5 linked regions of the Callithrix jacchus genome follow. The protein of the gene in region 5 interacts with the protein of the main gene of each other region in a biochemical or structural test. Links are inferred from orthologs where the notes say so. Each region holds a gene or a part of one and is shown on either strand. Other genes may lie near its edges.

Region 1 (5,197 bases), on a different chromosome or scaffold from region 5:
CAGCCTTGTGTTGGGGATCCTAGGTGGGTGCCTGGAGGCCTCCTATTCTGGGGTTGGGTGAGGATCGTACCAGCAAGCGTGGCTGTGACTGCTGGGGCCGCCTCCTGTCCATGCTCCAGGCAGGACACTGTGAAAAGCAGCCTGTGCAGGCCCCTGCGCTACTGCAGCTTAGACCAACAGAGACCCATATGTCTCTGGGGCATATGGGATTTCCCCTGGAAGTGGGCAGGTGGGGCCATGAGCCATGGTGGTCCTGACTCCTGCTGAAAAGTGACCTCGGCCCAAGAGGAGGAGGTCCTCTTTATGGGCCCTCCCTCACATGACAAGATCCCCCCCAGGTGGCTGCTGACCTTCGAGGTGTCCTTGGGCGAGCGCACCTGTGTGGCCTGGTGGCCACTGCCTGTGGAGTGGGGCTGGGGCTGAAGTGAGCTTAAGGCTATGGGAACGCTCCTACATCATGTTCGGCACACTGAATTTTACATTTTTTGCATGTTTTTTTTCTTTCTTTCCCTATTTTTCTTTCTTTCGTTCTTTCTTTTTGGACCAATTTACCTTTTCAGTTTCCCTCTTTAATTTCAATTCCACATTGCCAGACATGAAGCTCATTCCTCTGACCGGGGGTTGGTGATATCATAGGGACTTAGAGACGAGGGGCACAGGGTCATAGGAACAGGATAGGGAAGTACTGGCTGTGGGGCCTGACGCCCCCCAGGGCTGAAATCCACCAGACACACCCTGGAGAGTGTTCGAGGCCCCCGACATTCTCACTGCAGATGGTTTTGACCAGGTCAGCTGTTCCTCTCCAAACCCTGAGCTGGGGTATCCCAGAGAATGGGATCTCTCACTTACCTGCTCTGTGTCCTTGGACAAGTGACTTAACCTCTCTGAGCCTCGGTTTTCTTGTCTGTAAAATAGAGGCAGTAATACCTCCTAACAGCCAGAGAATTGATGAAATATTACACATAAAGTACACAGCACATAAAGCCTAGCACGTAGTAGGTGCTCAAGACATACCATCTACTACTACCATTGTTACTCAGTCACTTACTTCCACCACCCTCTGCTCTCCCCTGCAGCAGTGATGAGGGGCACAAGAGACCCTGACCAGCAGGAGGCTGGGTGATAGTTCTGTGTCTGTGCTTTACTCTGGCCTGAATCTCCAAGCAAAGCCTCTTCTCCATTGCACAAGTCTTTATTCTGTGCCCGCTCTGGGACAGATCCTGTGCTGGGCTCTAGGTAAACAATGTTGGCCGTGACAAGCCTGTCCATGACCCCGGGAACTCAGGGCCATGAAGGAATGAATTCTTGTTCAAGCCCCTTGATGAGGTTCCCAGGCTTAGAGGGTCCCTATTCCAGAGCCTCCCTAGCCTCCCCAGAAAGGCTTCATAGACCCCACTTGGTCATCAGAGAGTAGCAGCAGGAAACTGAACCGTGGTTAATGTGAGTAAAAAACTCCTGTCTCGTCTTCTGTTTAGATTAAGTTAATAGAAACTGAGTTATTGCAGCTGACACAGCTGGAGTTAAAGAGGAAGTCCCTGGACACAGAGACACTACAGGTATGTAGGGCTCCCTGCCCCTGCCTCCCTCACATGCTGAGACCCCCACCTCATGCCCCTCCCAGCCCCTGGCAGCTGCTTGTCAGCCCCTGGGAGTCAAGGGCTTCCCCAGCAGACAGAGGGCAGAGTTTTTCTGTGGCTGTGATACCAGAGGACACCCCCCAGCTCCAGAAGACCCAGCGCAGGCTGAAGTTAGAGGCAGTCAGCCTGTTGTGAGGCAGGAGGGTCAGAGGAAGGAGGGTTTCATTGCCAAGGCTCTCCCGCTCCATCTCCATCACTGTTTCCTGTGCTGGGTGTGGGCCCTCGCTGAGCTCTGTCTCTCTCTGTAGGCCATGCTTCAGGCCCCTGGGCAGACATCCTCCAGGGCTGGAGCTTTTGGGTGTCCCCGGGATCTCTGGAGGAGAGGGCCCAGCCATGTCTCTGTTGCTTAGCCTGGCAGTCCTGCTCACACAGACAAGAGGGTGGCAGGGACTGGCAGCTGATGTCCTGGACTGGACACCTGGGAGCCGGGTGTGGCTCGGCACAGCCCTGCTGCACAACCTTGGCAGGTGGGGGAGGAGGGGCAGCCCTTTGCCCTCTCTGGACCTTAGCCCCTCCAGCTGCAGATAGAGGGCTGGATGGGGTGGTGTGTGAGGACATGTGCCCATGCCAGGCATTTGAGCAGAACCTTCTGTCTGTCACTGTCCCTGTGTCCTCATTAGAGAAGTCTCAAGTCATCCCATGGACTCCTCAGTGCAGTGAGAGGTAAGAGGTCTGGATACCTGGTCTCAGGTGTACCACAAGTGCATTGTGTACTCTTAGGCAGGCCTCTGCCCCTCTGGGCCTTCTTCCCCTACTCCGTAAAATGGCAGCTGTCCTCCAGGTCCAGCCTGTGCCATCTGGCCATCGGAGAAGACTAAGTTAGCAAGGGAATGCCCTTTGTGAGCTTTGAAATGATCTCCAGAGATGAGGGGACTGGAGCTGCTCTCAGAGAAGCTGTGGCCATCATGCCTGGCAGGTACCCTAGACCCTGCCCACAAGAGCAGCAGGGCTACACCTGTCAGGGCCCCATGGGGTTTCCAAGAGCAGGCACGGGAGTGGAACAAGGACCCCAGGCTCTGATTTGCACACCCCTCCATTTGTGTGAGGCCCCTTACCCCGTTCCCACCATTTGCTTCTGCCCATGTGCTCTGTTGTCTGGGAGGCCAAAGGCAGGTACCTGTGGCTTGCTGTTTCTTTTGTTTGATGTTTCTTACCATTCCATTGTCATCAATCACCAGGATCCCATGCCTGACTTCACCCCACAAGGACGAGAGATGCAGGCTTAGGGGAAGAGGGGCAGAAGGGCCTCTTAGCTTTGTCCCCCAGCTCAGCCTGGAGGCGTTAGGCAGAGAACCGAGTGAGCGGGAGGCCAAGCCCTTCTCCATCCTGCCACTGCAGGACTCCTGAGGTGCCGCCAGTTCATGGTGGTTTGGGGTGTGGTCTTGTGTTGCAGGAGATGGTCTCGGAGCAGCGCTGGGCCCTCAGCAACCTGCTCCAGCAGCTGCTCAAAGAGAAGCAGCAGCGAGAGGAAGAGCTCCGGGAAATTCTGGTATGTGTTGGCTTCTGTGCTCAGCATCACACATGCGTTTGCTTTTCTCTAACAGACTGGCCATTTTTAGAAACACCTGTTATTCAAGTAAGAGTTGTTCATCAAAGAAAAACTGGAAAGTGCAAAGGAAAATAATTGCAGTTCCAAGAGTTATCTCCTGCTGTTTTTTGTTGGTTTGCTTGTTTGAGACAGGGTCTCACTCTGTTGCCCAGGCTGGAGTGCAATGGCGCAATCTCGGCTCACTGCACTCTTGACTTCCTGGGCTCAAGCGATCCTCCCACCTCAGCATCCCGAGTAATTTTTTTATTTTTCATAGAGATGGGGTTTCGCCATGTTGCCCAGGCTGGTCTCGAACTCCTGGGCTCAAGCGATCTATCTGCCTTGGCCTCCGAAAGTGCTGTGGTTACAGGCATGAGCCACCGTGCCCAGCCTGTCCTGCTGTTTTGATGCATGTTTTCCAAACATTGTGATGCATCTTTATAGCTGTTTGTGTATCTGCCTTTTAAATAGGACATGGTGCGTACTCTACAACCAGCCTGTTTCCGTACATTCTTTTCAAGCCGTTAAACCCTTCCTTGACATCCTTTCTCGAGGCTGTGCTTGGCCCCTATTGTTATGTGGATTACTTCTAGGTTTTAAACTTACAGGCGACGCTCTCTGAATTCCTTTGTAGTTGAGTATTTGGGAACAGCCATGAGTATTCACTCCAGGACAGGACTTGCTATGTCCAGGACAGGCTGTTTGATAAGCTTTTGGTAGGAATGGCCCAGCTGTCTCCTGTCCCCTAATAAGTTTGATGCTGGCACACTTTCAGAGTGGCAGCGGCCCCCTTGAGAGTGTCTTCTCTAGACCCAGGGGGCACCCAGCAACAAGACCAGAGGCCAGGCCCACCATCTGGGGTGGAAAAGATCGAGTTATTCCTGAGTCACCGTGAATGAACCAGACGTCCTCTGAGCTGCCTCCTAGACCTGGCCCTGTGCAGGTTTTTTTTTTCTTTTCTCAAGACAAAGGTTTGCTTTTTGTTGTCCAGCCTGGAGTGCAATGGCGTGATCTTGGCTCACTGCAACCTCCGCCCCCTGGGTTCAGGCAATTCTCCTCCCTCAGCCTCCCGAGTAGACAGGATCACAGGCATGCAATACCATGCCCAGCTAATTTTTGCATTTTTTTTAGTAGAGACAGGATTTCACCATGTTGGTCAGGCTGGTCTTGAACTCCTGACCTCAGGTGATTCACCCACCCTGGCCTCCCAAAGTACTGGGATTATAGGCTTGAGCCACCGCACCTGGCCCCTGTATAGGTTTAGAAGAGAAAGACCAGCTTCTTCTGGAGTCCTGAACAAGCCAAGTGGTGCCTGTGCCCATCAGAGAAAGCTGTCTATTCCTCACAGTGCCCTGCTGCCATCTCCTATGCATCAGGTTACTGGGCAGATGGTGCCCTGGTGCTGTGCTGTGGCAACCAGGTGCTGTGGCTGGTGCTCCTGCCCTCGTAGGCCTTGGGGGTCACCACCAAGGGAGGAAGCACCACCCCAGCAAGACACAGCCAGTCCGCTCCTGGGTGCCAGAAGAGAGGGCCTGCAGCCCGGGAGGGCCAGCGATAGAACTGAGCAGTGGGTGTGGCCAAGGCCACAGCGGGGAGCCCCCAAAGGGCAGTCAGGCCCAGCAGGGATGGGGAAACGCCTCCCCATGTCATGCCAGCCCTCACTGCTGTTCTAAGCAACTTTGTTCTAAGCAAGACAAGCCTGGGGCCTGATTCCTGGCCCCACCCTAGGCAGGGTACTCATTACCCCGAATCTCAGTTCCCTCACCTGGGAGGTGGAATCAACTTCACGGAGTTGTGAGAATGAATGAGTGGCATCTGTAGGTGCACAGCGTGGCCTGGTGCTGTGAGCAGGTCAGCTGTGCCTGTTGTCACCATGGTCGTTATCAGCATCATTTGCTCACTGCTTTATTCCCAGCACCTAGAACAATACTCAATGAAGAGTTACTGATTGGTAGAATAAGAGAATCATGTTCAGTAGCACACTGACCATTCTTCAGCTCTGTCAGACAGTGAAGCCCAGTCTAGAAGCGAA
Region 2 (5,197 bases), on a different chromosome or scaffold from region 5:
GGCTGGAAATTTTAAGAGTTCTCAAAGTTGTTTCAGTTTACGTCTAAGTTGCCTTTAAATCAGCTAACTTCAGTGCCCAGATTGTGGTCTCCAGATATATCATTTCTTCTAAAAGGAGCTTAAGAGTTCCTGGGAAAAAGGCTGATTACATGACAGGACGCAGGAGGTGAGACTGGGGCATGTTGTTCCATCAAAGAGCAGAGGAATACCAGTGACCCTGAGGCTTAGGAGCCTCCTAAAGCCCTCCTCAGGGCCCCAGGTGGAGCAGTATGAGACCAGGACTACAGTGTAATGAAACTCTATGAGTTCAACACGATCTTCAAAAAACACACAAATCAGAGACAAATTATCAGATCACAGTATTTGGGCCTTATTGGGCTCCTGATAAAAGCAAACTAGTTAAATAGAATTTCTAACATGAGACAATTGGAGACTTGAACACTGACTAGATATTTGTGATGTTAAGGAACTGCTCTTCATTTATTTTAGCTGTGATAATGTTTTTAAAAATAGTCTCCTAATGATACACTAAAATAATCATATCTTAGACTTGCTTCCAAGTGGTGTATAGGTGAAACGAGACGTTGGCTCTAGGTGACAGTTGTTGGTACACAGAGTTTATATACCATTCAGCTGTCTGTATATTTGTTTAATTTTCTTTATTAACATGTTAAAGAACTAATTTAAGTTTGGACCTGTAGAGATTATAAAAATGATTTAAAAATCGACGAGTTTTTTCCCCTTATTATAGGAAAAGGCACTAAATTTTAAATGTGTGTTTTTCCTTTTAGGGTATTATAGGTCTCTCTATTTGTTGATTAACAGCAAGCTTCCATCAAGTATTGAATATTCTGATTTATCTCGGGTTCCTATAGCAAAAATTTTACTAGAGAATGTTCTAAAACCATTGCACTTTACTTACAACTCCTGTCCGGAAGGTGCGAGGTGAGGCTGGAATGGATTTATTGATTTTGTCATTTCTCAAGATCTATATCTGACAGTAACTTTAACATAGGATGTGATTTTAAATATAGACTTGAAAGTCAGATTTTTACTTTATTAGTGTTGATGTAGTTAATAGAAGAGTGTACTTTTTCTTTCTGGCCTGTAGCCTAATACAGATTTGAGATTCTGGTGATGTTATTTTCCTACTTTTTAGTAACTGTCGAAAGTTAACGAAAACATGGCAGTTATCTTAATAGAGCAGACATTACATTTATTTAGGTTGATTGAGTTGATATTAAATGATTAATTTGGCCAATTTAGAAGAGTAGATTATCTTTTTGAAGGATATTTTGAAAGGTTATTTTAATCAGTGATTGGATGGACAGTATGTTTTGACATTATAAAAAGCTTCTATTTTTCTTTTTCAGGCAACAAGTTTTTACAGCCTTCACAGAGGAGTTTCTGGCAGCACCTTTTACAGATCAGATTTTTCATTTCATCATTCCGGCGTTAGCAGATGCACAGACCGTTTTCCCTTACGAGCCCTTTCTGAATGCACTGTTGTTAATAGAGGGTAGATGTTCAAAAAAGAGTGGTGGAGCACCCTGGCTTTTCTATTTTGTTTTAACTGTTGGCGAAAATTATTTGGGTATGAAATACAAGACTTTTTTACCTGAACATGTATATGGGTAGCATTAGCAGATGAGTCAAGAGAAGGCCGTGAAGTGGCAGGTGTCATGGAAAGGTGGGCCTCTCTTGGAAGAGTGTATTTGCTGAAGGGCTGTGGTCTGGGCAGTGTTGCTGGGGAGAGTTTCCAGATACAATGGGAAAGACTGACTTATATACATGTCTTATAAGGCCGCACAGATTATTTTAATAGAGTGAACGGAATTAAATGGGAAAGCTCTTCTGTGAGTCAGGCCTGTTTCCCTACTTTTCGTAAACTTAGAGTGTGCCTATTCTAGAATGATAACATCTTCCTGACGTATTGTTGAAAACATACATACATGCACACATGAATTATTAATGAAAGAAATACAGGAAAAAACAAACTTTTTCTTGTTCTCACACTCAACATTGAAAAATTCTGTGACCAGAAATGAGGGTGTGTTTTTTTTCCCACACACCAAGCGGTTTTGCGGTGGACACCACCTAGGTATTATACAATTAAGTTCAATTCTGATGCTGTCCAGCTGGAAATGATGTCAGATCCCATAATCTGAAGGCTTAGTCCTGCAAGACTACACCCACTTCACAGGCCAATTACAAGTAGTAGGTTGTCACCTATACTTCTGGCCAACCTGCCAAAATGGGGATTCCTACAACCCTGCCTTGGGTTTGGTAATTTACTAGGACAACTCCCAGAACTCGGGGAAGCCAAGGTAGGCGGGTTTGCAGTGCTCCCATGCCTTCTCTCGGCACTCCACGCCCTCAGCACCTCCGTGTCTTCAGCTCACTGTGTCCTCCTGTTGAGTTTTGTGGTGCTGCATCTCCAGTGTCCCTCCAGCAGCCCCTTGGAGGTTGGTGGGTGGGGCCGAAAGTTCCAGCCCTCTGATCACTTGGTTTCTCTGGTGAAAAGCCCCATCCCAAGGCCCCTAAATGGTCACCTCGGTGCATAAACTCAGGTGTGATCACAGAGGGCTAGCTTTGAATAACAAGACTCTTCTCTTTCGGGAAATGCCAAGAGTTGTAGGTGCTTTCTGACATGAATGGGGACTAAATCTAAATATGTTTCCTATTATAACACAGAATTTTAAAATAAGATCTGGTCAGAAATGCCTCTTTGAGTATTAGGGAAAATGGCATCTTAGTTTTCCATTTTTAAAAATAACATTTAACTAAAATACATTTTAACTGATTGTTTTACAAAGGGGCCCTCTCTGAGGAAGGGCTGCTGGTGTATTTGCGGGTGCTGCAGACCTCCCTCTCTCAGTTACCAGTCTCTCCTGCCAGCGCCAGCTGTCACGACTCAGCCAGTGACTCGGAGGAGGAGGGTGAAGAGGCCGACAAGCCCTCGAGCCCGGTGAGCCCGAGATACTGGCAGCCCTGCCTGTTCCTCTATCTTTCTGTCCACCCCTCCTTTCAGTTACACAGTCAGAACCTCAAGCAGCCTCCACAGAGAAGCCCCTTCAGCCCCCTCTACCAGTTTCCCTGATTAGAAACAGTTTCTTCCACCGCTTTCTTAGTACGCTTATGGAAGTGTAAGTGGAGGCACATAGTTTCGTGTTTGTTTTTTTAGGCAAAATAGGATTATACTGTATGTTATCTTAGTTATTAGGATATATTTTCTAGCAATGAAATTGTTGGGTCAAAAGTTCCTTTTTACCCAATCCTGTGAATACCAAGTAATGTCTTCCATTAATTTCTGCTGATTTTATGGAGGATATGTGTTAGGATTTATTTTAAAATTACTTTCAAGTTCTTACCTCTTTTATTCCTTACTGATGAGTTTACAGTAAATTTTCAAGGAGTAAAAAACTTTAAAATTATATATACATGCATACTTAATTTGTGTTTTACTTAATATACCTGCCAGTGGCTTTTCTTTGGTCTTAAACACTTGAAATGGCTTGAGATATGGCTAACGTAAGTCATGATTTTTGATTAAGGAGTTGTATATTGATCGCTAAGTGTAATCACAGAATATACTATAGAGGGTCTCCAGGCTTCCAGGTCTGTTTTTGCAGTATTGTGAAGTGGGTGTGTCAGTGCATTGCTGCAGCTTCCTAGACAAAGCTTCACTAGCATCAAATAAAAGAGATCACAGCAGTAAGAAGATTGAGAAGTAAGCACAGGGCTTTATTTAAAAAATAAAAATAAGAGAAGATGAAGAAAGGAACAGATTATACTGCCAGGGCTTATGGCTGAGAGGCGGACTGATTACCAAGGGTGGAGTCGTTTTTGTAGTGGATAGTGGGTGCTGGAACTGTTGGGTCTGTTCAAACTGTACACCAAGAAGTCTTCATTTTTGTGTGTGGTTATAAAAAAGAGTGGGTTCTGTAATGGAATGTAGATAAAATTTTTGGTTTTAGAAGGAAGTTTTAAAATAGTTACCTTCCATAGAATCTGTGAAATAAAACCTGTATTTATACACAGCGTATTTTGTATTCATGTGAAGATGGGGCTGTGGGCTTTTTCAGCGAGAGAGAGGACAGAGCTTTTCCTAGCTGTGGGTGTGCAAACACGAGGACAGAGCTTTTCCTCGCTGTGGGTGTGCAAACACGACGAAAGCGGAGCACAAGGACCCATGAACCAGGAAGGAGGCTGCAGGCTCTCTTGCTTCTGCTTACACTTTGAACATTTAAGAAGTGGGATCAGTTGCTTGATTTTTAAAATTCTTTATAACCGTAAAAAATATTACTACACTTTAATTCTTTTTTAATACATAAGAGTTTCAAGGTCTGCATATTATATAACTTCATAAATTTGTACTTTATACTTCAGTTTCCTTTTTTCATTTATTCTCTTCATTCTTCCTTTGCCTTGGGTAGTGTCACATTTGGGCTGAGAACTACAGACCCAGTTTTGAACCAGGCACTTGTAGGTTTCACTCCAAGTCATTCTCTCCTTGCCAGGTCTCTTACGTGTATGTTTCTGTGTTGCCTTTTCTTTCCCACAGCACTCAATCATACAGAACCTAATGTGATTGTATGAGATTTTTCCAGGGTCAAAGTTCACCGTTGATAAGCTCTTTTGCCTTTATGTTTCTGTATAATCTGTTCACTTATAACCCATGTATAATTTATTTTAAAATTGTACACCGCAGCTGGGCACGGTGGCTCATGCCTGTAATCCCAGCACTTTGGGAGGCTAAGGCGGGTGGATCATGAGGTCAGGAGATTGAGACCATCCTGGCCAATATGGTGAAACCCCGCCTCTACTAAAAAAATACAAAACTAGCTGGTCGTGGTGGCACGCGCCTGTAGTCCCAAGCTACTTGGGAGGCTGAGGCAGGAGAATTGCCTGAACCTGGGAGGCGGAGGTTGCAGTGAGCCAAGATCGCACCACTGCACTCCAGCCTGGCGCCTGGCGACAGAGCAAGACTCTGTCTCAAAAAAGAAAAAAAAAATTGTACACTACAAAAATAATAATGCTAGGATTCTTCTCTCATTCTCACACTCCTTTTATTAGCTTTGTGTTAAAGATTCAAGTTTGGCAGATGGATTTACTGCTTTTATGTATAAAGCAATGTTTTGTTTGGTAGATTATTTATAAATTACATAAATTGTATTCATCCAAGTTTCCTAACAGG
Region 3 (4,058 bases), on a different chromosome or scaffold from region 5:
CCCAAGTGCAAGGGAGAAAAAAGTTTTGTTCTCCTACCTTATTAAGGCAGTGTCTGAGGGGCAGACTGATCATATCAGCAAACTCATCTAATTCTGCTTCCTCCCGGGCCTGTCGTGAGGACCTGACATACCTGGCCATGAAGCATGTGCACTTGAACTTGAGGAAGTGGTGGGGGTCAGCAAGCTTTGAGAGGAAGGTTAGGCCCTTCTCATTTTAACCTCCTCTGGCCAGAACCAGACTAACTGGCAGTCTTCGTAGTTAAGTAGCTCTTAGATGTGATTTCCTTCCACCCAGAAAATACGGGCAAAGACCTCCCAGAGGGAAGGTCAAAAGGTTACAGTGGGGTAATATTTCTATAAGTATGAAGGGGTCTCCAGGCCTTCGCTACCCTAGCCTGCAGTAAAGAGCAAGAACCGAAGGGCAGCCTTCCCCATGGCCAGGCTGCCAGCCCCCAGTTTGAGCCAGGAAACAGTGGAGAGGGACAACAGAATTATAGTTTTCACTGTCGTCTTTGTGCAAAAACTAATTTGGAGATAATATAATATTCCTTGCCCAACCCCATCCCCAGCCCCAAGCAATTGAATTCTTTAAAAAACAGCTTCACAGAAAATATGGGGAAGGCCAGATTTTACAGGACTTGCTCAACAATTTTGAGATGCGCGACGTAAAAGAATTTAGTTCTTGTCCTTTTGACAGTAGAACAGGGTCATGGAAAACAGCCTACTTCTGGTTCAGGAAATACCTTTGATTTTATGCATGACAACACTAATGATGAAGAGAGACTGAGACCTTTAATCTTGAATATTTCACTTGTTTTGAGCAAAAGTAGTTAGGAACACAGTTTAAGCCCAGGAAAACAGAGTAGTTAAGTACTTATAGAGGGTTGCACCAACAGAAGTTTTGAGAAGGCCCCATGGCTCAATGCATTTCTTTTTCCGCAGTATGCCACCACGGGCTGTTCCCTAACCCTGCACCATACAGAGAAGCCAGAACACGAAGACATCTGTGAATACCGTCCCTACTCCTGCCCTTGTCCTGGCGCTTCCTGCAAGTGGCAGGGGTCCCTGGAAGCTGTGATGTCCCATCTCATGCACGCCCACAAGAGCATTACCACCCTTCAGGGAGAAGACATCGTCTTTCTAGCTACAGACATTAACTTGCCAGGGGCTGTCGACTGGGTGATGATGCAGTCATGTTTCGGCCATCATTTCATGCTGGTGCTGGAGAAACAAGAGAAGTACGAAGGCCACCAGCAGTTTTTTGCCATCGTCTTGCTCATTGGCACCCGCAAGCAAGCCGAGAACTTTGCCTACAGACTGGAGTTGAACGGGAACCGGCGGAGACTGACCTGGGAGGCCACACCCCGGTCCATTCACGATGGTGTGGCTGCGGCCATCATGAACAGTGACTGCCTGGTTTTCGACACAGCCATAGCACATCTTTTTGCAGATAATGGGAACCTTGGAATCAACGTGACTATTTCTACTTGTTGTCCATGATGTGGCTTTCGTAACCCATCCAAATTATGTGAGCATAGTGCTCTATGTTTAATAAAGGTTTTTATAAAGGTTTTATTCCATATGTCTTCACAAGTCAGGACCAACAGTTACCTGTGTTTTGTTTGAACAGCAGTTTCCCATCTGGCATTGACCCCACAAAGTTCATTAACCTGGGATGAATGGGGTTGGCCTGTTGGTGATTTAGAGGCTGTTCTGTGATCTAAAACAACTCTCTTATTAAATTTTATGTACATCCTAAACAACATTTGACAGGCTGTTGCACAGGGCTTCTGTAGATCAGTGTGTTAGGAATGGGAGGCCCCTTCCTGCCTGCCTTCCCATATTGGTCCCTTGTCATTGACAAAAGCACAGTGACTGTCAGCAGATTCCTTTACTTTTGTTTGTGGGAGGTAGGAATTGTTTTAATGCATTTTAAACAGTATTTCTCAAACTGGATGGCTAATAGACATCGAATCACCCGGAGTGCTTATCTTAAAATTGCAGATTTAGGGAGCCTGCCAATTTAACAGTCTCATCTGGTGATTCTTTTCAACAGCAATGTTTGAAAATTACTGGGCTAAATTGTGGGAAAGGGTCCAGATTTTAAAGGTGCTTTAAGATTGCCCTCTGCCGATACTGTTTGTCTTTCTACTGTTTCATTCCCTAACCTCCCCTGACCCTCAAATTAAAACTAGAACTACAGATCCACATGAACACACGCCTGAGATCTGGTCACTCACTTGTGTTTTGGGTGGATTGCCTAGAAAGCAAGTCATATGGCCATTAGTTCTCATGTAATTAGTTTTGCTCACCACTAGAACAGGGGACTCGTTTACACATGGCTTCCCTCAGAAGCCCTACTTGATAGTAGCTGGTGTGAAAGACTAGATCAGTAGATTGGAAAAGCTTTATAACCGGTGTGTCATATGCTTGCTATTTAAAGGTGTGTGTTGGTTTTGTTTTTCTGCCACATTCACTAGTTTTTTAATAAATATTTTCCAAAAATGGATGTTGTGCTTTATTTCCCTAATTGAATAATGGGTATTTATTGAGCATCAATTGTGTGCAAGTGCAATGAACCTTTACCACTGCATCTGGGGTTGGAACTTTCACTGTTTTCACTGAGGAAACAGTCATTGGGCCAAGGTCATGACATGGGTCCATGACAGCACTGGGGTCCAGGCTCACACATCTGAACCACTGACTGTCGGTGGTACAGGTCTCCTCCCAGGGCTGTCATTTCTGTCTGACAGTGTTAGCAGCTGCGCAAGAAGAGGATTGCTCCTGCTTTACCGAGTGAGAAGGAAGACACTTGGCCAGTGCTGACATCCAGAGTGCTGGGGTTGATCCAAGGTGACCCACTCCCTCAGTCCCAACCATATACTCCCAAAAGAATTCAGAGATTAGTGCCAAATGCTTAGTGAGGATTGATGACTGCTTACCTCAGCGTCCCAATTTCTTTTCTTTTCTTCTCTCTTTTTTTTTTTTTAAAGACAGAGATTGGAGTGCAATGGTGTGATCTCAGCTTACTGTAACCTTGCCTCTGGATTCAAATGATTTTCCTGCCTCAGCCTCCCAAGTAACTGGGACTACAGGCCCATGCCACCACACCCAGCTAATTTTTGTATTTGTAGTAGAGATGAGGTTTTACCATACTGGCCAGACTGGTCTCAAACTCCTGACCTCAAGTGATCCACCTGCCTCAGCCTCCCAAAGTGCTGGGATTAAGGCGTGAGCCACCACGCCCAGCCTCAGTGTCCCAATTTCATTAGCATACTACCAAGTGGAGGTGATGGCTTTGGAGTTGATTTTGTTTTTTAAGTGAAATACAGTGTTGAGTTTTTAGCCGGCATAGGGTTCTGGCATTTCAGGAATTGCTAAAGTAACCTCTTCTAGGATGTTCTTCAAATAAAAGTGAAAAACGGTTGCCTGCACAAAAGTAGGAGTTTACAACTTTTGTGGTGAATGAATGAAAACCGTAACTCTTATCACTAAGAAAGTCATATTTCGGCCCGGCGCGGTGGCTCACGCCTATAATCCCAGCAGTTTGGGAGGCCAAGGCGGGTGGATCACGAGGTCAAGAGATCGAGACCATCCTGGTCAACAAGGTGAAACCCCATCTCTACTAAAAATCCAAAAAAAATTTGCTGGGCATGGTGGTGTAAATCTGTAGTCCCAGCTACTCAGGAGGCTGAGGCAGGAGAATTGCTTGAACCCAGAAGGTGGAGGTTGTGGTGAGCCGATATCGTGCCATTGCACTCCAGTCTGGGTAACAACAGCGAAACTCCGTCTCAAAAAAAAAAAAAAAAAAAGGAAGGAAGTCATATTTCAAGTCAGTATACAGAGGGATCTGTGAAGGTGAAACTAGGATATAGGAGCAGGTGAACTTTGACCCTCAGGACCAGAGCCAGTCCAGATATGGCCTCCAGGGCCCTCTTGGCACCCACTCAAGGTGCAGTGCGCATACACCAGCCAAGCCTGGCAGCATCACTTCATGTCCACGTCTTACCCGCTTATTATGTGTGATAGAGGAAATAGGACTGATTAGTTAACAGTGC
Region 4 (5,197 bases), on a different chromosome or scaffold from region 5:
CAAAACCAGATAATTGCTCCACAGAAAGTTGCACACAGGCTGGGCACGGTGGCTCACGCCTGTAATCCCAGCACTTTGGGAGGCCGAGGCGGGTGGATCATGACGTCAAGACATGGAGACCATCCTGGCCAACATGGTGAAATCCCGTCTTAACTAAAAATACAAAAAATTAGCCGGGCATGGTGGCACATGCCTGTAATCCCAGCTACTTGGGTGACTGAGGCAGAAGAATCGCTTGAACCCAGGAGGCGGAGGTTGCGGTGAGCCAAGGTTGCGCCATTGCACTCCAGCCTGGGCAACAAGAGCAAAACTCCATCTCAAAAAAAAAAAAAAAAAAAAAAAGTTGCAAACGGCAGGAGACTCCTTGTTTTATTAAAGTGAGCTGTAGTCCGTCTGTATTTGGAGGTCTCAGCTTCCCCTGTGCTCAGGGATCCCTTCAGATCTAGGGTTCAGATTCCTACCTGGCCTGGTACATGGCAGGAAGGACTCCAGAGGGGAAGACGCTGTACAACCAGTGAGGGTAGTAGGGCCCTGGCACTGCAGCCTCCCATCATGCAGGGCAGGGACTCAAATGCCACGGCCTCTCAGCCTAGGCATTTCCTGTCCTTGGAACCTTGTCCACTCCTCAGCTGGGTGAGGCTTCTCCTGGTTTATCTGACCTTTAGATGGACAGAGACTGGGGAAGGGGCCGGCAAGAGAAATTGACCACACCTTTTTTGAAGGGGATTCTGTGCCCAAAACAAACAAATAGACCCTTTGTGTCCAATCTGGGCCTTGGTAGCTGCCCTAGCGCGATCTGCCTAGCAGATCACCTGATCTTCCTCCCTGGCAGGGGAGGGGCAGGGGCTCTTACTACACATTGGTGTGCCTTCCGGGCCTGCTCCTGCCGAGACACAGTTGGGGAGGTACGGATGCTGGTTTAGATTGATCACTTGGACTAATCTGCCAGCTGCCCTTGTAACTTGCCAGGCAGCAGTGGGGAGACATGAAGCCAGAGGGAGCAGAGTGCACAAACATTTATTTACAAAAAGTCCCAGTTACATATGATACAGGCTTTTTACACACAGTAGTATGAACAAATTATTTTATCTATTTTTACTGCCAGAAGGTAAAGAAAAAGGTTTAACTACTTAATCATTTTTCTATTTTTATACAAAGTGACAGATCATGCACAATTTTTTCAGTTTTTAAATATTTTGCTAAGTGCAAATACTAGATTCCTCTCTCCAGTTTTAAGGCAAGTAAGAAGGGGCTTTGGCTGGGGAGCCTTGCGCCCTGGGGCAAGCCCTGCAGGGCAGAGAGGAGGTGCCCCAGCTGCCTCAGGGTTGCCTGTGGTCTGACCTCTGGGCACTGGAATGGACCTTGCTGGCTGATCAGAAGTCCCCCAGTGCTTCTCTCCCCGGCCCTATCATTGGTGCAGGCAGGAGCCTGAGGTCTAAGGTGGGTGCTCATGGCAGCCCTGCAACCCCCTGTGCCTGGCTTGGGGAGAATCCTCAGGAATCAGGGCCCTACAAGGAAAAAGGCAGCAACTCCTTCAATACCAGCACAGTGTGACCAGAAACAGCTGGAGCTCTTCTAAAAAGAGATGCCCTGGGATTTGGCCTTAGGAGAAACATCACTCTGGGCTCCCTGTTCCCTGCCAGGGTTGGGGCCAGCACCTGTCTGGGGCTGTTCCTGCAGCTGCTGCCTGCTCCCTTTGTCCTGCCTGGGCCACTTGCTGGGGCCACATGCCTGGTGTGCAGGACAGAAGGAGCTGAAGCTCCTGGGGCCTGAGGTCACCTACGCTTCAGCTAGGATGTCTGCAGCCTCCCTCTGCTCCCAGAGACCCTCCCAGGGGCAAGCACAGGGAGCACGTTTAAGATACTGAAGACAATCCTGCTGCAGCTTTGTGGAGCCCGCCTTTCCAAGGCACTGTCATTCAGGCTAGTAGCAAAGTTGGGGTAGCCCAACAGGTAGGGGAGCCGGCAAGGACATAGCATTAGGCTGCCCCCCAAGTCTGGCATCCCAGCGCACGCTTACCCCATGCCCAGGTGATCAGCTGTCTTCAAAGCCTCCATCTTGGGAAAAGGCAGAAAGAATGAGTATCTTAGATCTTCTTTGAAACAGAGTTTCGCTCTCGTCACCCAGGCTGGAGTGCAATGGCGAGATCTCAGCTCACTGCAACCTCCACCTTCTGGGTTCAAGGGATTCTCCTGCCCCAGACTCCTAAGTAGCTGGGATTATAGGCATGCGCTACCACGCCCGGCTACTTTTGTATTTTTAGTAGAGACAGGGTTTCACCATGTTTGGTCAGGCTGGTCTCAAACTCCCTATCTCAGGTGATCCGCCCTCCTCGGCCTCCCAAAGTGCTGGGATTACAGGCATGAGCCACCAAGCCTGGCCATCTTAGATCTTTTTAAATCCACTTTAGTACTTGAAATACATCTGAGAAGCCAATGACAGTGAATGATGATGCCCTCCAGACCTTGGGTGTGGCAGCCCTGCTGTAGGACGATGGAGGGCTGCTCCAGAGGCTGAAGCAGCCCCACCCTAATGGCTGTCGGGGTCAGCCCTGTCTGAGGTCTGTGAACTCCAAACCTCTCGGAACCCCATGGCAACACAAGAATATGGTAGACCAAGAAGAGAAGGAGATAGTGACACCTGTGGCCAGGAAAGCTTCAGGTCTCTTATCTGCCAATGGGCCAGACTGATGCCTCAGGCACAGCTAGAAACCCGGGGCTGGACAGGAGGCAAGAATGAGTAGGGACATGGCAGGGCTGAGCTGATGCTCAGCTGACTGCATGAGAAGGGAAGTGGCCCTCATATGGGGGGTACCAGACAGCACCGTCTACCTGCCTTCACTAAGCACTTGAGAACACACAGGGGCTCATGCCAGGCAGGGGTGGCACCCAGGGTCACCTGTCCCCCTAAAAAGGCCCACTCCTCCCCCAGAAAACCATAGGGGAAAAGCTGCTCATCACCCAGGGTGGCAGAAATGTCTTCCCCAGCAGTTGGGCTGCCTGGCAGGACCACCAGGTCTCTGTCCCAGCTACCCCAAGAGGATCTTTTGATGCGCCAGCTTCAGAACCATCCAGCATGCTGCAATGGACTAGCTTGGGTAAGGATTTCTCAGCCTGACTTTCCAGAGACTGAGGAAGAGAAACTTAGATAGCAATAGAACAAAACCCATGGCACAAGATGGGTTTGTTGCTGCCTGATCTGAGTAGGCTATATGAAGAGAGAGGAGAGGTACCCTCAATGCTCACTGTAGTGGCGCATGGGCTCTGGATAGGGGGAAGCATCTTGGCCCTTATGGCTGTGGCAGTGCCTCTGTAGGCCATGGTGCCAGCCCCCACCCTGAGCAATGCTTCCCAGGCCCGTGGGCACAGCTCCTTCTGCCCAACCTGGAGCCCCTATGAGGACCTCCAGGGAAATGGCTCCTTGGAGCTGCCTTACTCCCCAGGGGTTGGCTCCAAGGAGAGGCCCAGGTGTGAGCAGCAGGGGCACTGCAGCCTGCCCTGGCCTATACCATGGATAAAGGGATAAGGCAGAAGGGCCGCCCCTGGTGGCCTCGGGGGAAAGGAGGGGCAGTTCACATCACAGTTCTCTATGAACTCCACCATTTTCATCTTTATTATGGATCTGTCTGTGCTATATAAGGAAGGCTCATGTGGTTTTAATTCTGAGAGGTTTTTTCCCTGGTGTTTGCTAGGGGAAAAAGTGAATGGAGGCAAAATATTTCCTCTTGGTCTCTTTCTGCAGGGACTGGAGTGACACAGCAGCCAGGGCCACCGGCAGAACTCTTCAAAGAAGGGCTTCGAGGCCCTTTTGACTCTGCCGAGTGGGAGCCAGACCTATCCCATGCAGGCCCCCCCAGAGGGCCACCAGCTGTGGTCACTCTTCCAGGAGCAGTGGCCCTTCTAGGAAAGGTGGGAAGAAAACCAGCCTACCCTTCAACCTGACTTAGGAAGCAATGGCACAGCCACCAGCCTTGGGGGAGGGGAGTGTTCTCCATCCCACACCCCCACCCCAAATGGGCTCTGTGCTGCTCAGTGGGGGTTCCGGGCCATTAGAAGCGATGCCGTGGCTGGGGGCCAAAGTGCATGGGCAGGTTGTGTTCCAGGGGCATGTGGACGGGACCAAAGTCATAGTTGACCCGCACATTGGGCAGCGGGGGCACGTATGGGGCTGGGATGGGTCCCATGTTGAGTGGGAAATTGTTGAACACGGGCCGCACGGGCGGCAGGGGGAAGGGTGGGTGCACAAAGGCATAGGGTGGCATCTGTGGCTGCGGCAGGTTCTGTGGGACAGGCCTCGGGAGGACCTCCACCCTCTGTACCTTCTCCATGGGCTTCTCCAGTGGAGGTCCGATTCGTTTGAAGGTGTTCTCTGAAAGGGAGGTGCGGTTTAGTGGAAAAAACAGATTAAACATACCTCGCTGGAATCTGAATCTAGCTTGGGACTAGGCTAGTGACCTCTGGACACAGGAGGGGCTCCACAGGCTGATTAAAGCACAAAACATGGACACCTCCCCAACAACACTATTAGAAATCAAGGACAAATCTGAATTTTCCCTCAGTGTCTTGCTCTACAGTGGCACCGTGGGAGGTGGCATGTCCACCCACCCAGCCCAGCCCAGTAAGGCATCCTTCAAGAGCCAGGGCCTTGAGGGGCTACCTCTGTGACTCAGTTACATTCTTTTTGTTTTGTTTTGTTTTTGAGACAAGAGTCTCACTCTGTTGCCCAGGATGGACTGCAGTGGTGCTATCTTGGCTCACTGTCACCTCCCCATCCCGGGTTCAAGTGATTCTCTTGCCTCAGTCTCCCGAGTAGCTGGGAGTATAGGCGTGTACCACCATGCCTGGCTAATTTTTGTACTTTTTTTTTGAGACAGAGTTTCGCTGTTGTTACCCAGACTGGAGTGCAATGGCACAATCTCGGCTCACTGCAACCTCCGCCTCCTGGGTTCAAGCAATTCTCCTGCCTCAGCCTCCCGAGTAGCTGGGACTACAGGCACGCACCACCATGCCCAGCTAATTTTTGTATTTTTAGTACAGACAGGGTTTCACCATATTGGCCAGGCTAGTCTCGAACTCCTGCCCTCGTGATTCACCCGCCTTGGCCTCCCAAAGTGCTGTGATTACAGGCATAAGCCACTGCACCCAGCTATACTCTTTAAAAAAAAAAAACAAAACAGCCAGGTGTGGTGGCTCAAGCC
Region 5 (5,016 bases):
ACAGTCCCTTCATTGAATATGGTAGGAGACAGAAAATCATGTTCATATTAAGTTTAGATTGGCTCTAAAGAGGAAACAAATGACGAGGATATCAGGGAGGGGAAAAATGAGCAGATTCTGTCACTCAGGAAATCATTACTTTAAATAGATAAAAACAACATCTATGATTTGAACTCAGACCTAGAACAAGTAAACTCAGTGAATATTGATAGAATTCTTCACCCAGGTCCACAGAACATACATTTTTCTCAGTATCACATTATACCTATTTTGAAAGTGACAACATAATTGGAAGTAAATCACTCTTCTGCATTTGCATAGCATTTCACAGATTTAAATGAAATACTGGTTGGCTGTTTGTTATTTTCTTCCCTTTTTCCTTCCCGTCTCCACTGTTAAGCACAATTATCGGCATAAAAGAGGTTTTTAATACCTATTTTTAGATTGCATTCCAGCCTGGGCAATAGAGCAAGACTACTGTTCTCTCTCCCCCTTTCTCTTTCTCTTTGTTTCTTTCTAATTAAAAAGAAAAAAAAAAGATTAACATTGTATTTATGAAATGATATGACAACTTTTGTGGAAGATTACGATTCTTGATGGATTTCTTAGCTGAGACCCCTCAACTTTGCCCTGAAATAGCATCAGCACCCTGTTTTTAGATCCAACTATCACTTCCAGATATCGCCAATAATCAAATTAAGAACAGGATTACTTCTAGGTATGATTAAAGCCATGGTTAATTACTTTAGATGCTACTCAACCAGTCATAGCAGCTACTACAGAGTTATTTATTACACTCTCCAAAATACTTTTCAGTTCCTTTCGTGGGGGGGAAGGAAGGAAGCTAACTTATTTGTATTCACATTCTGACTAGCTAGAACTGTGTGTAACACAAAGTAGATGATTCTTTTATTTGTGCTGAAGACTTTTCTCCTCTAAGGTTATGTAAAGTTGAGGATATTTTATCCTAGAGCAGATTGGTTCTGTTTTATTCATAGTTGATGCACAGGTCACATTTTGTTGTTTTGTTTTATGTTTAGATTGCTTTCACAACAAAAATTTACCATCCAAACATAAACAGTAATGGAAGTATTTGTCTCGATATTCTGAGGTCACAATGGTCACCAGCTCTGACTGTATCAAAAGGTAATTTCATTGATCAGATTTAAAACAGTTGATAACAGTGAAACAGTAAAAATACAGCAGAATTACCTATGGAGTAAAGTTTTAAGAAAACAATCAACTGTGCTTTCTTCTGTTTTGATTTTGTTTTGCTCTCTTTGCTCTTACTTACTCTGGCTTTTGGCAGTTAGCTTTGGTTGCAGGGAGTGTGGATGGAGAAATCTAAATGATGAAATGAGAAAAAACTTAAAATAATAGAGCTAGAAATTTGGGAATAAAACCTATTCACATTTTAATACTTTTAGCTTGGATGTTGTCTTTTAAAAAAGAGAGACTACCCAGGCGCTGTGACTCATGGCTGTTATTCTAACACTTTGGAAGACTGAGGTAGGAGAAGTGCTTGAGCCCAAGAGGTCGAGACCAGCCTGGGCAACATAGCAAGACTGTGTCTCTACAAAAAAAAGAGAGAGATAATAAGAGATAGTAAAAGGAAGATTTTGGGACTAGCTGTCCCATTTATTAAATGGAAGTGTTGACAATAATAAAGCTTTACAGCTGTTTTACTTCATTGACAAAAAAAAATACCAGATTTGATTGATAAATGATTCAAAATGCTAGACATTTCACACTGTAGGATAATGCAGTACATACAGCATGTTAGTCTAAACTTTGAATAATCAGTAGCATCATTATAGTGACTGACACATGATCTGTGGTGATTCTCAACTTTATTGGATGTATACATAGGCCATCTGAAGCCATTTTATTTTATTAGCCAATACTACTTACTGTACTAGCACTCTTAATTTATGTCTTATTTCTCTAAAAGAAGAGAACCTAAAAATTGGAAAATATTATTTAGGTTAGAAGCAGCTGCACTGAAGTAACCATCAAGTTTTCTGTTTTTATAAAATTGAAGAAAATGTTTCTCTTGAAGGGATTTATGAAAGCAATCTGTTCTCATTTTTTATTTTTAATAATTGCTGCTTGAATATACAACATGTTTTTAAAAGTAATAAGGTTTATAGGAAGCAGAGTCCACAGCCATAGCTTTTTCAAGTATTAGATAAATAATAGCTCTTTCAGTTCAATTATTTATGAATGGTAGTTTTTCTGACCTAAGATGCTCATCTGCAATATTCATATAGATTCTCATATTCTTTTAAGAATCTTTCACACAGTGTTTCTGTCATGCATTAGATATATGAAAGATTCTGTGTTGAAGAGTAATTCAAGTTCATATGCTCTTTCCTGGAATGATGTCACAAAATGAATCTCATTTGGCATAAACAGCTAAGTCCTTATACATAGAAAAGAAATGGCAGACTGCCGGATGCTGAGTACTTATCTTCTGACATTGGTAGCTTTTTATAAAAAATCAGTAGTGTTAGATTCCAGAAACCATCCTTTGAGAAATGAACCAGCCTCAGCTTCCTTATAAGTAAAATGGGGAGTATTATAGTATTACCATATAGGGTTGCTATGTTCCTAGCACATAATGGGCACTTACATGAATGTTAACTGTTACCCTTTTCCTTACCTTAAAGGATAGACATGGTTTGTGTGCATGATAGTAAAATTCAGGCAAATGGCTCCTGGCAGTAGGAGTGGGCAGAGGAAGAACTTCCTTCTTGCTTATTTTTTATAAGATAGATTGTACCTTGCTCATTTTTTTACTTTTCTATATTTATTTTTTTAATTTTTAATTTTTTTATCTTAAATTTTTTCTTTGAATTAAATATAGACAGAGTCTTGCTGTGTTGACCAGGCTGGTCTCAAACTCCTGGCCTCAAGTGATCCTCCTGCCTTGGTCTCCCAAAGTGCTGGGATCATAGATGTGAGTCACCTTGCCCAGCTTATTTTTTAAATTTTTTTTATTTTTGAGATGGGGTTGCTGTGTTGCCCAGGATGATCTTGAACTCCTAAGGTCAACGATTCTTCTGCCTCAGCCTCCCAAGTAGCTGGCATTATAGGTGTATGCCACCATGCCTGGAGCTTTTCCATATTTTAAATGACTTCTTTTGCTTTTTATCATGAGGTTAGTCTGAAAGCATTCTGGGGCTGTAAGTCAGCCTGGAAAATCTACCCTGTTGGTTTAATATACAAGGCTTGAAGTTTCATTGGGCAGATAGAAGATAAGAAAGATGCATAAAATACTAATTTTTTCTTTAGTTCATAATACCCCCCATTTGCCTGTCATATAAGTCAGCTCTGCTCTATAAATCCACCTTTGGATTTGAAAGAGTAGGAAAATAGAAAGGAAACACAATGAGGTTGGGGCAAGTGGATATGGGAGGTTGGTCCAGACGTTCCCTGAAACTCCTCAGAAGTGGTGGCATGCAATTGAAGCAGACAAATGAGGAACCACAGTCCTTGTTCCCTCTTATTTCAGATACTTAGATCTTAGATTGTCTTTTTTTTTTTTTTTTTTTTTTTTAGCGTAGCTATTTGCATTAGGATTTTGACATACTGGAGTAACAACTACTTTTTCAATTTTCATTTCTATTTTAAAATATGCAAGTTATATGAAGGTAGCTGTTCACATTATTTTTAAATGCATACAACATGAATAAAGTACATGAAGTAAAGATTCACTGAAAAAATTTTTACAAATTTTTCTTCTTTGTAGACAGACTATAGCTCTAAGCCAAAGTAAAAGAGTGTCTGAGCACAGTATCCAAATGGTATATGGACTGTTAAGTGTAATTTGATTGTTCTGTAGAGAACTCTCAAGTTTAAAGGTTGTTAATAGCTACTTTGGAGGGTCACTTTTTTAAGTAAATAGAAACTCAAATAGAATTTAAAACTTCAAAAGCTAAAGTAATTTCATATTTTACCCATCTTAGGGTAATTTTATAACTTTAAAAATTAAAGATCATTTGCTATCAACCAAAATAGAATAAAATATAATTTCATATGTTCATTTCTTTTGTTTTTCTAATAAATTTAGTATCTGTATTCACTAAAATCATTTTCACATGTGTAATTATATGAACTAGATTATTGTCTAATATGATGTTCTTTTTTAAATCTAGTTTTATTGTCCATATGTTCTCTACTTTGTGATCCTAATCCAGATGACCCCTTAGTACCAGATATTGCACAAATCTATAAATCAGACAAAGAAAAGTAAGTGTTAACTTATCTTAGTTTCTGTATGGATACATTCCTATATAGTATGCTAAAACATGAATATTGTCAATGTATTTTAAGTACAGCTTGTTGTGCATATATTGTTTTATCTTTTTCCAGTGGAGTAAACCCTTCTTTTAGAACTCAGTTTGTCCTTTTACAATAAATCCTGTTTCTTCCCACTTCCTGTTCAATAGTATATAGTCTGTATTTGAAAAATAAATATATATATATATATTCTAGGTGGTAAATTAAAAATGAAATAATTTAATCATTGGAAAGTATTAAATACTGTATTGCCTATCTTCTCCCAGGAAGATGAGTTCTCTCTATGCCCATCCTAATTCTATGCCCACTGACCTAATTCTCAAGCTGCTTCAGCTTGCCTGTACTGTAGGTTTATTTGCAATTTGTAGATAATGCTTCTTCAGGGTTGGCTTTGTACATTTCTATTAAAAGTTGGTTTCTGCATTTTCTTTTTCATATACTTGGATACATTTTCATACAGATTGCAGAGAAATCCATTAGTTGAAAAATTGTCCTTCCCGTTTTATTTCTGCATGAACCTAAGTCCCATTGACCCAATAATTGATGTATGTGTGATTATTGCAATTAAGTATAAAAGGAATATATAGTTTTATATAGACAGATGCTTCTAAAATATTAATTTTGTATGTTTTTATTATATTCTTTTTGTATATCTACAGATACAACAGACATGCAAGAGAATGGACTCAGAAATATGCAATGTAAAATCAAAAA

Evidence for each region.
Region 1: the proteins of UBE2D1 (region 5) and LRSAM1 form a complex in vitro, tested with the Homo sapiens proteins (2 studies listed by BioGRID, with this or other methods). The link is inferred for Callithrix jacchus from reciprocal best matches to the Homo sapiens genes UBE2D1 and LRSAM1.
Region 2: the proteins of UBE2D1 (region 5) and UBE3C form a complex in vitro, tested with the Homo sapiens proteins (8 studies listed by BioGRID). The link is inferred for Callithrix jacchus from reciprocal best matches to the Homo sapiens genes UBE2D1 and UBE3C.
Region 3: the proteins of UBE2D1 (region 5) and SIAH2 form a complex in vitro, tested with the Homo sapiens proteins (3 studies listed by BioGRID). The link is inferred for Callithrix jacchus from reciprocal best matches to the Homo sapiens genes UBE2D1 and SIAH2.
Region 4: the proteins of UBE2D1 (region 5) and E3 ubiquitin-protein ligase RNF216 form a complex in vitro, tested with the Homo sapiens proteins (2 studies listed by BioGRID). The link is inferred for Callithrix jacchus from reciprocal best matches to the Homo sapiens genes UBE2D1 and RNF216.

Annotation. Positions count from the first base shown.
Region 1 is NC_133502.1:176,111,615-176,116,811, forward strand, and holds part of LRSAM1 (E3 ubiquitin-protein ligase LRSAM1), read left to right. Parts: intron 1-1,475; coding exon 1,476-1,556; intron 1,557-3,030; coding exon 3,031-3,126; intron 3,127-5,197.
Region 2 is NC_133512.1:91,062,692-91,067,888, reverse strand, and holds part of UBE3C (ubiquitin-protein ligase E3C), read left to right. Parts: intron 1-791; coding exon 792-945; intron 946-1,373; coding exon 1,374-1,594; intron 1,595-2,816; coding exon 2,817-2,968; intron 2,969-5,197. UniProt on the Homo sapiens protein: E3 ubiquitin-protein ligase that specifically catalyzes 'Lys-29'- and 'Lys-48'-linked polyubiquitin chains.
Region 3 is NC_133518.1:34,521,835-34,525,892, forward strand, and holds the end of SIAH2 (E3 ubiquitin-protein ligase SIAH2), read left to right. Parts: intron 1-942; coding exon 943-1,500; 3' UTR 1,501-2,505; downstream 2,506-4,058. UniProt on the Homo sapiens protein: E3 ubiquitin-protein ligase that mediates ubiquitination and subsequent proteasomal degradation of target proteins.
Region 4 is NC_133503.1:16,898,648-16,903,844, reverse strand, and holds the end of E3 ubiquitin-protein ligase RNF216, read right to left. Parts: intron 4,369-5,197; coding exon 4,049-4,368; 3' UTR 1,002-4,048; downstream 1-1,001.
Region 5 is NC_133513.1:72,138,710-72,143,725, reverse strand, and holds part of UBE2D1 (ubiquitin-conjugating enzyme E2 D1), read left to right. Parts: intron 1-1,040; coding exon 1,041-1,146; intron 1,147-4,157; coding exon 4,158-4,251; intron 4,252-4,961; coding exon 4,962-5,007; 3' UTR 5,008-5,016.